Linked DNA regions of Cricetulus griseus. The main gene of each other region encodes a partner of the protein of the gene in region 3 in a complex. Links are inferred from orthologs where the notes say so. Each region holds a gene or a part of one and is shown on either strand. Other genes may lie near its edges. The genes, in order: Kcnip2, Kcnip1 and Kcnd3.

Region 1 (2,900 bases), on a different chromosome or scaffold from region 3:
CTCAAAGCTGACAGAGCCATCATGGTTGGTGTCAAAGGCATTGAAGAGAAACGTAGCATAGGTGCTGGAGTCTGGGGATGAGCATGGAATGTGACCTTGGCCTTCAGGCAGGGGTGCTTGCTTCGTTTCTGCAGCTGGCCCGGCCCCCACTACCTCAGCATTCCCAGGCCTCCGGAACCCTTCTTCCCACCTCAGCCTAACGATGGACACCCATCATGCCCCAGCCATCTGTCTCCTCACCTCCTTGGGGAAAGAACTGCGAGTATATCTGCTTGAAGTTCTCCTCATTGACAATTCCACTGGGGCATTCCTGGGTAGGGACAACCAGACTGAGCAGAGACACAAACCTGACTTCCTTTCCAGTCATGGCCCTCAGGCCAGAGACTCCCAGGAGGAGGAAAAATCACCATGCCTCTGTAGAACTTACCACAGAGTTCTGGTACCAGCTGGCAAGAAGACTTCCCCGCTGTACAGATAAACAAGCCCAGCCTGCCACCACCAAGGGCCCTGAACCTCAGGCTAGACGCTGGACCTGTGGCCCATCTCCCTCTTCAAAGCACCCAGGCCATACTTTCCAGGTGACTGCCAGTCAGTCAGCCAGGCCTCTCTGATTCAGCCCTTGCCCAGTTGGCTAGGCCCTCCACTCACGTTCTTGAAGCCTCGGTACAGGACCTGCAACTCTTTGCGTGTGAATTTGGTTTGTTCCTGCAGCTGCTCCAGACCCTCAGGCCGGTGACACACGGTGGACAGTTCAAACTCATCCTCCACGCTGTCTGCGGGGAGTGGTAGGGGGATAGCTTTGCCTCAGGTCAGGCCCCTGAGATGCTTGAGTAATCTTCAAAGTAATTAACCCATCCCCCTTCTCCTTGCCCTTGCTTCCACACCCAAGGCCAGCCTGTCACACTCAGAGCTGAGGCAGTCAGAGGAGAAGACACTGGTCGGCCTCGAGGTCTGTTGGGGTTAAGGCCATGCCTGGCTCCAGAGTCAGAGGTCTAGACTCAGCACTGGCCCCTGGGCCTTGGGGAGGGAAGGCCAGTCCCTTGCCGTGACTTCTTAGAAAGAGGACAGAATGGAGACCAGGGGCTCCTGAGGGTTGGAGGCAGGGGCCTTTCTTGACCAGCTCAGGTCGGCCCAGCCCCAGCCTGGGAGAGCCCACATCCAACCCAATCCCAATCAAGCCCCACCCATCCCAGCCATGCCCGAGCCATGCCCCACCCAGCTCCAGCCAATCTTTGTTCAGACCCCAATCTTGACTCCACCCTCAGTCCCACCGTCCAGCCCCCAGGCAAGTACCCCCCCATCCCACCCCAACCAGGACAATAAGTCACCTGGGTCCAGCGGGCGGGGTCTGTGGGGGCGGAGGGAGGCTGGGGCAGCTAATGCTGAAGGGAGCGAATTGTCACCAAGAAGACCAAGCCCTGTAGATACTCCCCTGGCCCCACACTCACAGGAAATCTCAGACTTGAGTGTTTCCACACGCGAACCCCAGGCCCACTGCATAGGCACAGACACAGTGAACACAGACATCCAGGGTGCCATGGGCTCCTCACAAACTGCCCCTTCTTGGATTAACTCCCCGGGTGGCACCATCCGAGTGCCACCATCTAAGCAACTACCATCAAATAATTACAGACTGGGCCTTTATATAGCTTGCAAAGTTCAGTGTGCTTTTATAAGGAGGGTAAGGCTCAGCCAAGGAAATGGAACCTATAGACAAAAGGAGGTTACTAAATTGGTGGCCACTCAGTTGAGGACCAGGCTGGGACAGAAAACCTCAGCACTCTGACATCTGTGAAGGTGGACTCCACCATCTATACCTGGCACACTGTTAGAGCATAGGTGACAAACATTCCAAGGTCTAAACAGTAGAGAAGCCAGAGTTGCAGAGCAACCTAGCTAGCTAAGTCACCCTGCCATGGCCACATGGTCTTCAGTTCTTACATACGAGCCCTGATCTGCCATTTTGCAGACCAGGGGTGCCACAGACACTCATGATCTGACAATATATTCATTTGTAGCCACAGGCCTCACATTCAGACCCAGCCAGTGAGTTCCTTCCTACCCCACCTCCCATCACCCCCCCGCCTCTCTCTCTCTCTCTCTCTCTCTCTCTCTCTCTCTCTCTCTCTCACACACACACACACACACACACACACACACACACACACACACGTCCCGCCCCCAGAAGCATAGGAGAGGCACTTGCTTTCACTGACTGAGGGCAGGGCTTGGGGCCCGCAGCACGGCAGCAGCTTGAGGAAACGCTGCTTCAGGGCTTTTTTAGTGGGCCCTGGAGGGTGGCCTGGGAAGAGAGAAGACCCCAGGAAGGCACATTAACTCCCACTGCACCCCTCCCCCGTTCCATTTTCCTGTCCGCTCCCCCACCAATCACAAATCAACACTGGCTGGGGTGGGGAAAGGAAATGAGGGGCAGTATAGACGGGCAGGATAGCTGGGGCCAGGTTGCCTGTTGGGTCTCACAGTCATGGAATGTCAACTGGAGCCAGGCATGGTCACTTTGTATAACGAGAAATGGCTGGCAAGAGCAAGGCAGCCTCAGTTAACTGTTAACTGCTAACCCAATTCCTCAAGGTAACGTCTACTCTAAGGAATCTGAGTAGGAATCAGTATCTCTCTCTCTCTCTCTCTCTCTCTCTCTCTCTCTCTCTCTCTCTCTGAGTAGGAATCAGTATCTCTCTCTCTCTCTCTTTCTCTCTCTCTCTCTCTCTCTCTCACACACACACACACACACACACACAGGCATATTGTAATTTAGAATGGTAAGTGACATATTTATGACAGAAACACTTAGTGGCCTAAGCATGTTCCAATCACATACACAAACATATGCTTTTACCTAATACTCCAATATATACAAATATGACCAAACTAAAACATGA
Region 2 (3,648 bases), on a different chromosome or scaffold from region 3:
GCCCAATCAGTTTCCCCTCCCTCCTTTCCTCTCAGTCCTTCCCCACCCCAACATCCCTTCTCCCCACCCCCATCTGTTCCTCTTCCTTTCACTTCAGAAAATGACAGGCCTCCCCTGTGTATCAGGCAGCTATGGCATGTCAAGTATGTATGACTAGGCTCCTCCTCTCCTGTTAAGGCTGGGCGAGTAAACCCAGTAGGAGGAAAGGGTCCCAAAAGCAGGTAGCAGAGTCAGAGACAGTCCCTGCTCCCGCTATTAGGAATCCCACAAGGAGACCAAGCTACACAACTGTAACATATGTGCAAAAGTTTTCATTTTAATCATGTATAAATGCATGGAGGGGTGGGTTTACACAGTAGAGGGTGCCATATGCCTGCGAGTTTGAGTTACAGGCAGTTATGAGCCACCCAACATGGGTGCTGGGAACAGAACTTGGGTCCTCTGTAAGAGCAGTACACACTTATCTTTCCAGACCCAGATTTCAAGCACTCATTAAATAGCAGGTGACCATTTAAAATCACAGATTAACAATTATATGTAATTTCATGTTTTAAAAATCATGTTACAAAGTGCTATTACATCAATTTCATAGACATCTATCTAAGTTCTTATATACATACTTACTTGTATGTATATAAATATTCTAAAATACTCAAATACAACTTTACACAGCATCTAGAGAAGGGAGCTTAGGCTGGATTCATGTTTCCTGATCTTCAACCTTGGTTCAATACATTTTCCCATCATACTGTTGAATAAACTTACTAACTATTCTCTTTATAACAGGCAAAGTAAGCAGAATTACCACCACTAATGTCTATCAGACATCTCTAGATGGCAAAATTAATGGTGGGGTGGACACGAATGTGAGTCAGTCAGTAGCTTCCTGAGACATCATCCTGCAATCATTCTGGGACATTCTTCTCACACCTGCCAGCAATGAGAATCCTGAGCAATCAAAACTGCTCTTTCTGTCCCTGCTCTTTCTGTCCCTTCTTTGATAAAAATTTCTCAAGCAGGGAAGAGCTCAGTGACCACATGGGGGTGAAAGGCCAGTAAAGTGTTGATCTTGAAATGGATATGTGAATACAAACTCATTTCTTAGTTCTATAGGTTGGGGAGTCCTGGAGAAATGACCAACTGATGGCACCAAGGTCATTCTTTCTAAATACCTTTCTCCGATAAAAAAGGATCCATTCTCCTTAGCAAGCTGTCTTTGGAACTGGAGAAGGGGGAGAAATAGAAAATGAACCTGAACCCTGATCAGATCAACCAACTACAGGCATCAGCCTAGAGGAGTTTTAATTGAGGAAAATTAATCAACAAAATAAAACATGATAATATTGGATTGTTACCAACAAAATATAATAGATATCCATAAGTCCAAAGAACTAAATACATAATAAAATAATAAATATGTGAATAAAAGAAGATAGGCATCTCTTGCTAGCAGAAGTATTCCAGTACATCTTCAGTTATTAATAACCTACTTAAAGAAAGCCTCAAGTGCCCTGTGGATGTTGGTTGTTGGCTTCCTTGTCCTAATTTAAAACAGCAACAGAATCATAAAAGGATTTTTTATCTCTGATCTGAAACATTAACTTTTAAAAGGCAATATAGAATAGAATTGCTATTAAAAAATACCATAGTAATCACTTTTGCTGTCAAGGTGTGTTGACAAATACTAAAATCAGAGAGTTGGCAGACAACTCTTTAGTCAAATAACCAAGTAATCACCAGTCATAAGACATAGCCACACCATGTACCTCCCTGATGGTGCATTGACAGGATGGAACAATCATTGCTTCTGCAAGGTCTTGCCCAAACTGACCATCTACAAAACAGCTGACCAGCATCCCCATCATACATGTCAAAGTCCTGAAAACATGAAGAACACACAATTCAACACAAAATGCAATCTCAAGGAGAAAAGCGTCAGTGGGAAAATGGATGAGATATGGATAAACTATGGTTTAGCTAATAATATTGTAGCAATGCTAATTTCCTCACTTTGATTATTTTTCTGCAGTTTTACAAGTTTTAATATTAAAGAAAACTAGGTAAAAGGTATACATGAGCCTTCCGTAATAGTTTTGCAACTTTCCTGTAAGTTTAAAATTATTAATTATGGGTTTAGAGAAAACCTCAAGTGTCCTGTCAATAATCCTTATGTTGGCTACTTTTTTCTTAAAACAGCAACAGAAGCTGTGAGGGTATTTAAAAGGCTAGTCTAAATCATTAACTTACCTTTAAGTCAGAATAATGCTTCATTGTCTCAGTCTGTGAATGTGGAATCCAATGACCTCCCTGAGAACAAAGCAAGAAGAGGTAACCACCCAAGATGTCTGAAGGCAGAGAGGAGTCTGCCATTTTCTCTGAGGAAGGAGTTTATTCTAGTTCTCTAGCTCCCATTCGTCTCTTTTAAACAGTCCTCTTAGTCACTCTGGTTGGCACAAAGAACCCCAAAACCATCCTAAATTCTGTTGCCTAAGAAAGTTTGACCTCATGGTCCCAACAGTGTGTACCTCCATGTCCTCTTCCAGGAGATGATGGACATAGTCAAAGCCATCTACGACATGATGGGGAAATACACCTATCCTGTGCTCAAAGAGGACACTCCCAGGCAGCATGTGGATGTCTTCTTCCAGGTATGTATGCATACTGATTGACCAGGAGATGTTCCTGTGAGGCAGACCAGTGTACATTACAGAAGAGAGCAGAGAGTCTATTATCATTAACTATAAACAGTAGATTCCATAAAAATCTCACAGGACCTGAGTAGAGAAGATTTCATTCATCGCATCTGTGTACTTACTGATCATATTGCAAAGGGGAATAAATGGAAATTAAGGTAAAGCCAGGCTGTAAGATCCTTAAGTGGGGGAGTTTGGCCTTGATCTAGCAAAGGATGGATAGATACTACCGATTATTGAGTGGAGAAGTGGCATCCTTAATTTTAAAAAATATCTAGCAATATAGAGTACTAGAAAAATGTCAGCATTCACCCTAATCCAAGCCTCCCACTTTGCAGCTAGGAAAAGAGATTTCTCTGACATCTTGAAAGTTTAGAGATAGACCAGTTTAGAGATAGACCTTTTGTGTCCAGTGATCTTTCTGCCAGATAGGCCAGCAGAGAACATATGTGCTGTGGTTTGGGTGTATGTCCAAGGTTCATGGGAGCTTGGTCCTCGGTGTGGCAGTGTTTAAGGTCATGGAATCTTGAATGAATGGGGCCTAATGGGTGGACTAGGTCCTTGTGAGCATTGCCTCAGAGATATTAGTGCTATGGCTGCCATGAGCCTGAGTTGAAGGAGAAAATCTGGGCCCTCCTCATTCTCCAGCTTCCTGTTATGTTGTGTGACCTCTTCCACATGTGCTCACTAAAATGATGTCATCCTTCATGAGGCTCTCAGCAGATAGAAACTGGTGTCATGCTTTTAAACCTCTTGAGCAATAAGAATACAGCACCCAGTTCCAGTTATTTTGTTGTAATAACAGGAACAGATTACTACATGTTCGGATGTCACCATAAGAATAATGTAGCAATGAGATAAGTGCTGGGACCAATCTTTTAATGTAAGGAAGTTCACTAGGGCCATAATAATATAACCAGGGACCAAATGGCTAGCAAAACACCATCCTAATGCT
Region 3 (4,351 bases):
TCCCATTTTAACTCTGACACCCATCAATCAGCCTGGTATTTATCCCAATACAAATTCCTCCCTTTCTGTCATGAATCCCATCAGAAAGCAACTAAGGACACTGGGAAGTTGGGATCTCATCAGGATCATGCTTGAGGTTGGGATGAGGTAGCTAGGTTTCTTTAGGAAAGTGAAAGATGGCCAGGGTCAGCATAGAAGGAACAAATATGAAGCCAAGTCCCTAGATCACTTTATCCCAAATATCCCCTGGTATCAAAAGCTTACATATGCCATTTGATCCAAGAAAGACACAGTCCCAGAGTTAAACATTCCCTCTGATGAGCAGCTAGCTATTTGGTGAGCACAGTTGTACATGTGTACACCTGTGTATGCATGATGCATAGTGTGTGTGTGTGTGTGTGTGTGTGTGTGTGTGTGTGTGTGTGTGTGTGTGTGTGTATTGGGAAGAATGTCTGTATAGCTTTCTTTAGACAGAGGTAAAGGGAATGCCTGAATCAAACATGGTCTTCACAAATGGATGGTGACAGCCCTTGTTCCTCCCTGCTCCTCTCTTGTGGCAGAATGACAAATGTAATCACTTTAAAAGGTCCAATCACCTGCTCAGTCGTTCCCAATAAACACACGCAGCACTATGGAATAACCCATACCACCACAACGGGGTTTCATCCAAGAAAAAAAAATTGAATCACCAGGATGCCACCAACTGAATTGTCAAAGACCAAATAAAAAGCTTCATGAATTCTCCATCAGCAATATAATGCTTCCTTGTCTAAGCAAATCTAGACCCAGCATATGAATTGTGAAGAGATTTTTCATTAATCTCATGGCTTCCAAAGGCTGAGGCAGAACCCCTCTGAAATCTATGTCTCCCTAAAGCTGCCTTTATTTGCTCTAATCCTGTTAGGGTGAGATTTCAATCTTCTCCCTGGGACCCCTTCCTCTGATGGAGCGTTTCACATCCCAGCACCATACATTTATTTTTGTGACCTGGGTGGAGTGGAGAACTGGGAGATCTGGAAGAGAACATCACCTGACATCTCACTGAGCACTTGTCTCTTGATGATATTGCTGGTTGTCTGACCACATGACCCAATTGAGACTATTTCACAGGCACACAGGTAGCCTGGGTCATTCCACCCCTGACTCTAACTGATAAAACAAGCTTGTTCCTCCCTTAGTGAGAAAAAAGAAACTGGTGCCTTGCTTTACAGAAAACCCCAAATCAGGACCTTTGAGAGAAACTCTAGTCTGTGGCAGCAGAAAAGGAAAAAAAAATGAGGCAAAAGAGAAAGCAGCTTGCAAATATACTACAAAGGAGAAATGCAGGAAGGACGGGTGAAGAAATCTGCATGTACAGATTGTACACTATTTATCCAATTCTCACAACCCTTCTGCCCCACCACCCGCCAGCTCTGTCTGCCTCCCCTTCATAGTCCTTAGAGGCACTCCACCCTGCCACCACACTCACCACACTGCTTGTCTGGAGGAAAGACACAGTGACTTAATTTCCCATGTTTTATAAAACACATGCCTCACTCAGCCCCAATAGAATCAATTCCAGAGCAAGTCACCACCCACAAACAAATCACTCATTTCTTTGCTGACTAAGTATATCCACTTCCCTGGCTCCCATGACTTGAGTAAAGGGCTTTATCTCCAAACTTCCTCTCCTCAATCCTGATACACCACCTAAAGCTTCATGATCAATCAACCCAACTTCACCCTATCCAGGCCAGTGGCACTGACTTACCCCAGTGTAGTCATGGTGACGATGGTGTACCAGAAAGATGCGGGGATGCTTGTGAACTTGCTGGCAGAGGAGCCCTTCTCGGCATAAAACATCACAGTGGCAAAGATGATTATGGCCATGGTGAGGGAGAAGAGGAGAAAGCCCAGTTCCGAGGCACAGCTCTTCAGGGTGTACCCCAGGATTCGTAGACCCTGGGAGTGTCGAGAGAATTTGAAGATCCTGAAGACACGGAAGACCCGGAGCGTGACAAAGGCCCCGGACACATCCTCATTGTTGGTCATGACGAGGCCAATGTAATAGGGCATGATGGCCACCACGTCGATGATGCTCATCACACTGCGAATGAAGCGGTATCGGCTGGGAGCCGCGAAGAGCCGGAGGAGGTACTCCACTGTGAAGATCATGACGCAGGCAGTGTCCAGGCAGAAGAAGGCCACCGAGTAGCGCTCTCCACATGGCAGCTCCTTGCTCCCGGGCACCGTGCCGCATGGCACCGTCTCCACCACGTTGGTGATGACTGAGACAGCAATGAAGAAGCCAGTCACGTAGTAGAAGACCAGGGCCAGGGTGCTGGTGTGTGGGTTTTCGAAGGCCCGCCACATGGTCTGGCGGAAGCTGAGTGAGGGCATGGACTCCTGGTTGTTCTCAGAGTCATTGTCATCCATGAGCCGCTCGGCGTTCTCCCGCTTGCGGTCTTTGTACTCCTCGTAGCAACAGTCTCCAATGATCTCAGGGAGGATGCCATAGAAGGCCAGCTCATCGTCGTAGGCAGAGATGCACTCATACCGCGGGTAGTGTAGCTTCCCCGTGCGGTAGAAGTTGAGCACACAGCGGAAAACTTCTGGGTCACGGTCAAAGAAGTACTCCTTGGTGTCCTCATTGAAGAAGAACTCCTTCTCTGTGCTACCAAGCAGAGTATCGGGGTAGCGCTCCAAAGTGGTCCTCCAGGTCTGGAACCGTCGTCCACTCACATTGAGGACAATCAGCTCGTCTTGCCGCTTGTTCTTGTCAGCTGGAGCTAGGGGCATGGGGCAGTTGGCCACTGGCATCCATCCAATGGCCGCAGCCCGGGCAAAAGGCAGCCAGGCTGCAACTCCCGCCGCCATGGTGACTCCAGCTTTTGGGCTGGTAGCTGCTCAGACACTGTGCACACCAGCTTGGAGTTAGTTCAGTGACCCCTGGGGGACAGGAGAGATCAGAGAAAGGGCTAAGTCTACTTTGATTTTTGTAGGATAGGGACAAGGGGAGGGTCATTGTGTGAAACAGCAAGTCTCCAAGGCAAGTTAAAACTGAAAGACCCAAAGAGGCAACTCTAACAGTGACACAAGGACAGTACCTCACAAGGGGCTGTGCAAAGGACCAGTTCATCAGATGTTGCTGACTGGCTGACAAAGTGTCAAGCTCCAGGGGGGTCCAGAAGTACTTGGGAAGGAAAGTGTCTAACAAGAAGATCTGGGAAGATGGGTAATAATTAGCTCTGAAAGGTTATGGATGTTATTGCGAATTTAAATTGGGAGAGGGTAAATGAGTTCTCATTAAACGAATTTAAAAGTGGGATAAACATGCTAATTTTTATTTCACTCTTCATCCACCAGGGTAATCAGGAATTGGGGTGCCAATGAAGGAGATCAAGTAAACACACCCTTTACATTTCTCCCTGGTGGGAAGGAGACTGGGGCTGGGTTTAGAAAATTTGGTTAAGGTGGGAGACCCCAGCAAGTCCAGAGCCTAGTAAAGTTCCATCCCTAGCTCCCATCGAGAAAGCTTTCTCTGGCAAATTGCAACTTACTCTTGAGAATGCTTGGCCTGGATCCTTGCCCTAGCAACCTACTGTCCAATTGCAGCCTTCAGACGCATGATGAATAGACCAGGGGAAGCTCTGTACAGGGTCTCTCTCCCACCCAGCGAAGGAATTCTTGGGTTCTTGGTCCACCTGACTTCCACATACTGTCCCTCTCCCACCCCGGAGCAAGCTGAGCCACGCTCACTGCCTTCCCTAACTCCTTCGCCTCCTGTCTCCATCTGCCTAGAACCCAGAGTTCCCCATTATATAACAATACACCATCCCATGCCAGGCTCTCTCACCTGTCCTCTCCTGCACCCTCGGAACTTCTTCAGGGCTGGGCACCCTTGTCCCTTCACTCACAGCTTTCTGCACCTCATTTCCCCGTCACCTGCCTGGATGGAGGGAACAATGGCACAGAGAACTATATTTGGCTTTGAGAAGCAGATTTACCTTCCCAGATCTGGCTTTTTAAAGATGATAGTGAAATGACTCTGCAATCCCCAAATGTATACCATCTGTGGGAAGACATGTGGTGACACAGAAACACACGTAACAGTGACGGGAAATTGTTTGGGGTTGGCACGCTCAACTCCACTAATCCTAAACTGATCACACAGTGCAGAGCCAAATCTTAACTCAGTTATTTGGATTCTCTAGAACTCAGTTGGTTTATTTCTGTATTGAAATAAATGAGGCAGAGGTGACTTTGGGAGTTGTTGTGTTGTTTGTTGGTCTGGTTTTGCTGTTGGATGACTTACTACACAGAGACTTGGGATGAACCTTGGCCTTCATCTCTCCAGGAATGCCCCCTCACC

The links.
Region 1: the proteins of Kcnd3 (region 3) and Kcnip2 are in contact, whole or in part, in a cryo-EM structure (PDB 7W6S), measured with the Homo sapiens proteins. The link is inferred for Cricetulus griseus from reciprocal best matches to the Homo sapiens genes KCND3 and KCNIP2. Residues at the interface, in NP_001365898.1 of Homo sapiens: Val5, Ala7, Trp8, Leu9, Phe11, Ala12, Arg13, Ala14, Ala15, Ala16, Ile17, Gly18, Trp19, Met20, Pro21, Val22, Ala23, Asn24, Cys25, Pro26, Met27, Pro28, Leu29, Ala30, Pro31, Asp33, Trp54, Arg60; in NP_775283.1 of Homo sapiens: Arg112, Gly113, Phe114, Asn116, Glu117, Cys118, Val123, Phe128, Ile131, Tyr132, Gln134, Phe135, Phe136, Tyr144, Leu148, Phe152, Phe165, Leu169, Ile172, Leu173, Arg180, Trp183, Ala184, Leu187, Tyr188, Met201, Met205, Ile208, Met211, His228.
Region 2: the proteins of Kcnd3 (region 3) and Kcnip1 are in contact, whole or in part, in a crystal structure (PDB 2NZ0), measured with the Homo sapiens proteins. The link is inferred for Cricetulus griseus from reciprocal best matches to the Homo sapiens genes KCND3 and KCNIP1. Residues at the interface, in NP_001365898.1 of Homo sapiens: Ala6, Ala7, Trp8, Leu9, Pro10, Phe11, Ala12, Arg13, Ala14, Ala15, Ala16, Ile17, Gly18, Trp19, Pro21, Val22, Pro26, Met27, Pro28, Leu29, Ala30, Pro31, Lys34, Lys36, Arg37, Asp39, Trp54; in NP_001030009.1 of Homo sapiens: Leu67, Arg69, Gly70, Phe71, Glu74, Val80, Phe85, Ile88, Tyr89, Phe92, Phe93, Tyr101, Leu105, Phe109, Phe122, Ala125, Leu126, Leu129, Leu130, Leu138, Trp140, Thr141, Leu144, Tyr145, Ile161, Val162, Ile165, Tyr166, Met168, Met169.

Annotation. Positions count from the first base shown.
Region 1 is NC_048596.1:15,766,150-15,769,049, reverse strand, and holds part of Kcnip2 (Kv channel-interacting protein 2), read right to left. Parts: intron 2,303-2,900; coding exon 2,207-2,302; intron 1,428-2,206; coding exon 1,329-1,427; intron 774-1,328; coding exon 649-773; intron 356-648; coding exon of another isoform or gene 311-355; coding exon 241-310; intron 72-240; coding exon 1-71. UniProt on the Homo sapiens protein: Regulatory subunit of Kv4/D (Shal)-type voltage-gated rapidly inactivating A-type potassium channels. Modulates channel density, inactivation kinetics and rate of recovery from inactivation in a calcium-dependent and isoform-specific manner.
Region 2 is NC_048600.1:48,809,316-48,812,963, reverse strand, and holds part of Kcnip1 (Kv channel-interacting protein 1), read left to right. Parts: intron 1-2,543; coding exon 2,544-2,648; intron 2,649-3,648. UniProt on the Homo sapiens protein: Regulatory subunit of Kv4/D (Shal)-type voltage-gated rapidly inactivating A-type potassium channels. Regulates channel density, inactivation kinetics and rate of recovery from inactivation in a calcium-dependent and isoform-specific manner.
Region 3 is NW_023276806.1:51,541,609-51,545,959, forward strand, and holds the start of Kcnd3 (potassium voltage-gated channel subfamily D member 3), read right to left. Parts: upstream 2,857-4,351; coding exon 1,751-2,856; intron 1-1,750. UniProt on the Homo sapiens protein: Pore-forming (alpha) subunit of voltage-gated A-type potassium channels that mediates transmembrane potassium transport in excitable membranes, in brain and heart. In cardiomyocytes, may generate the transient outward potassium current I(To).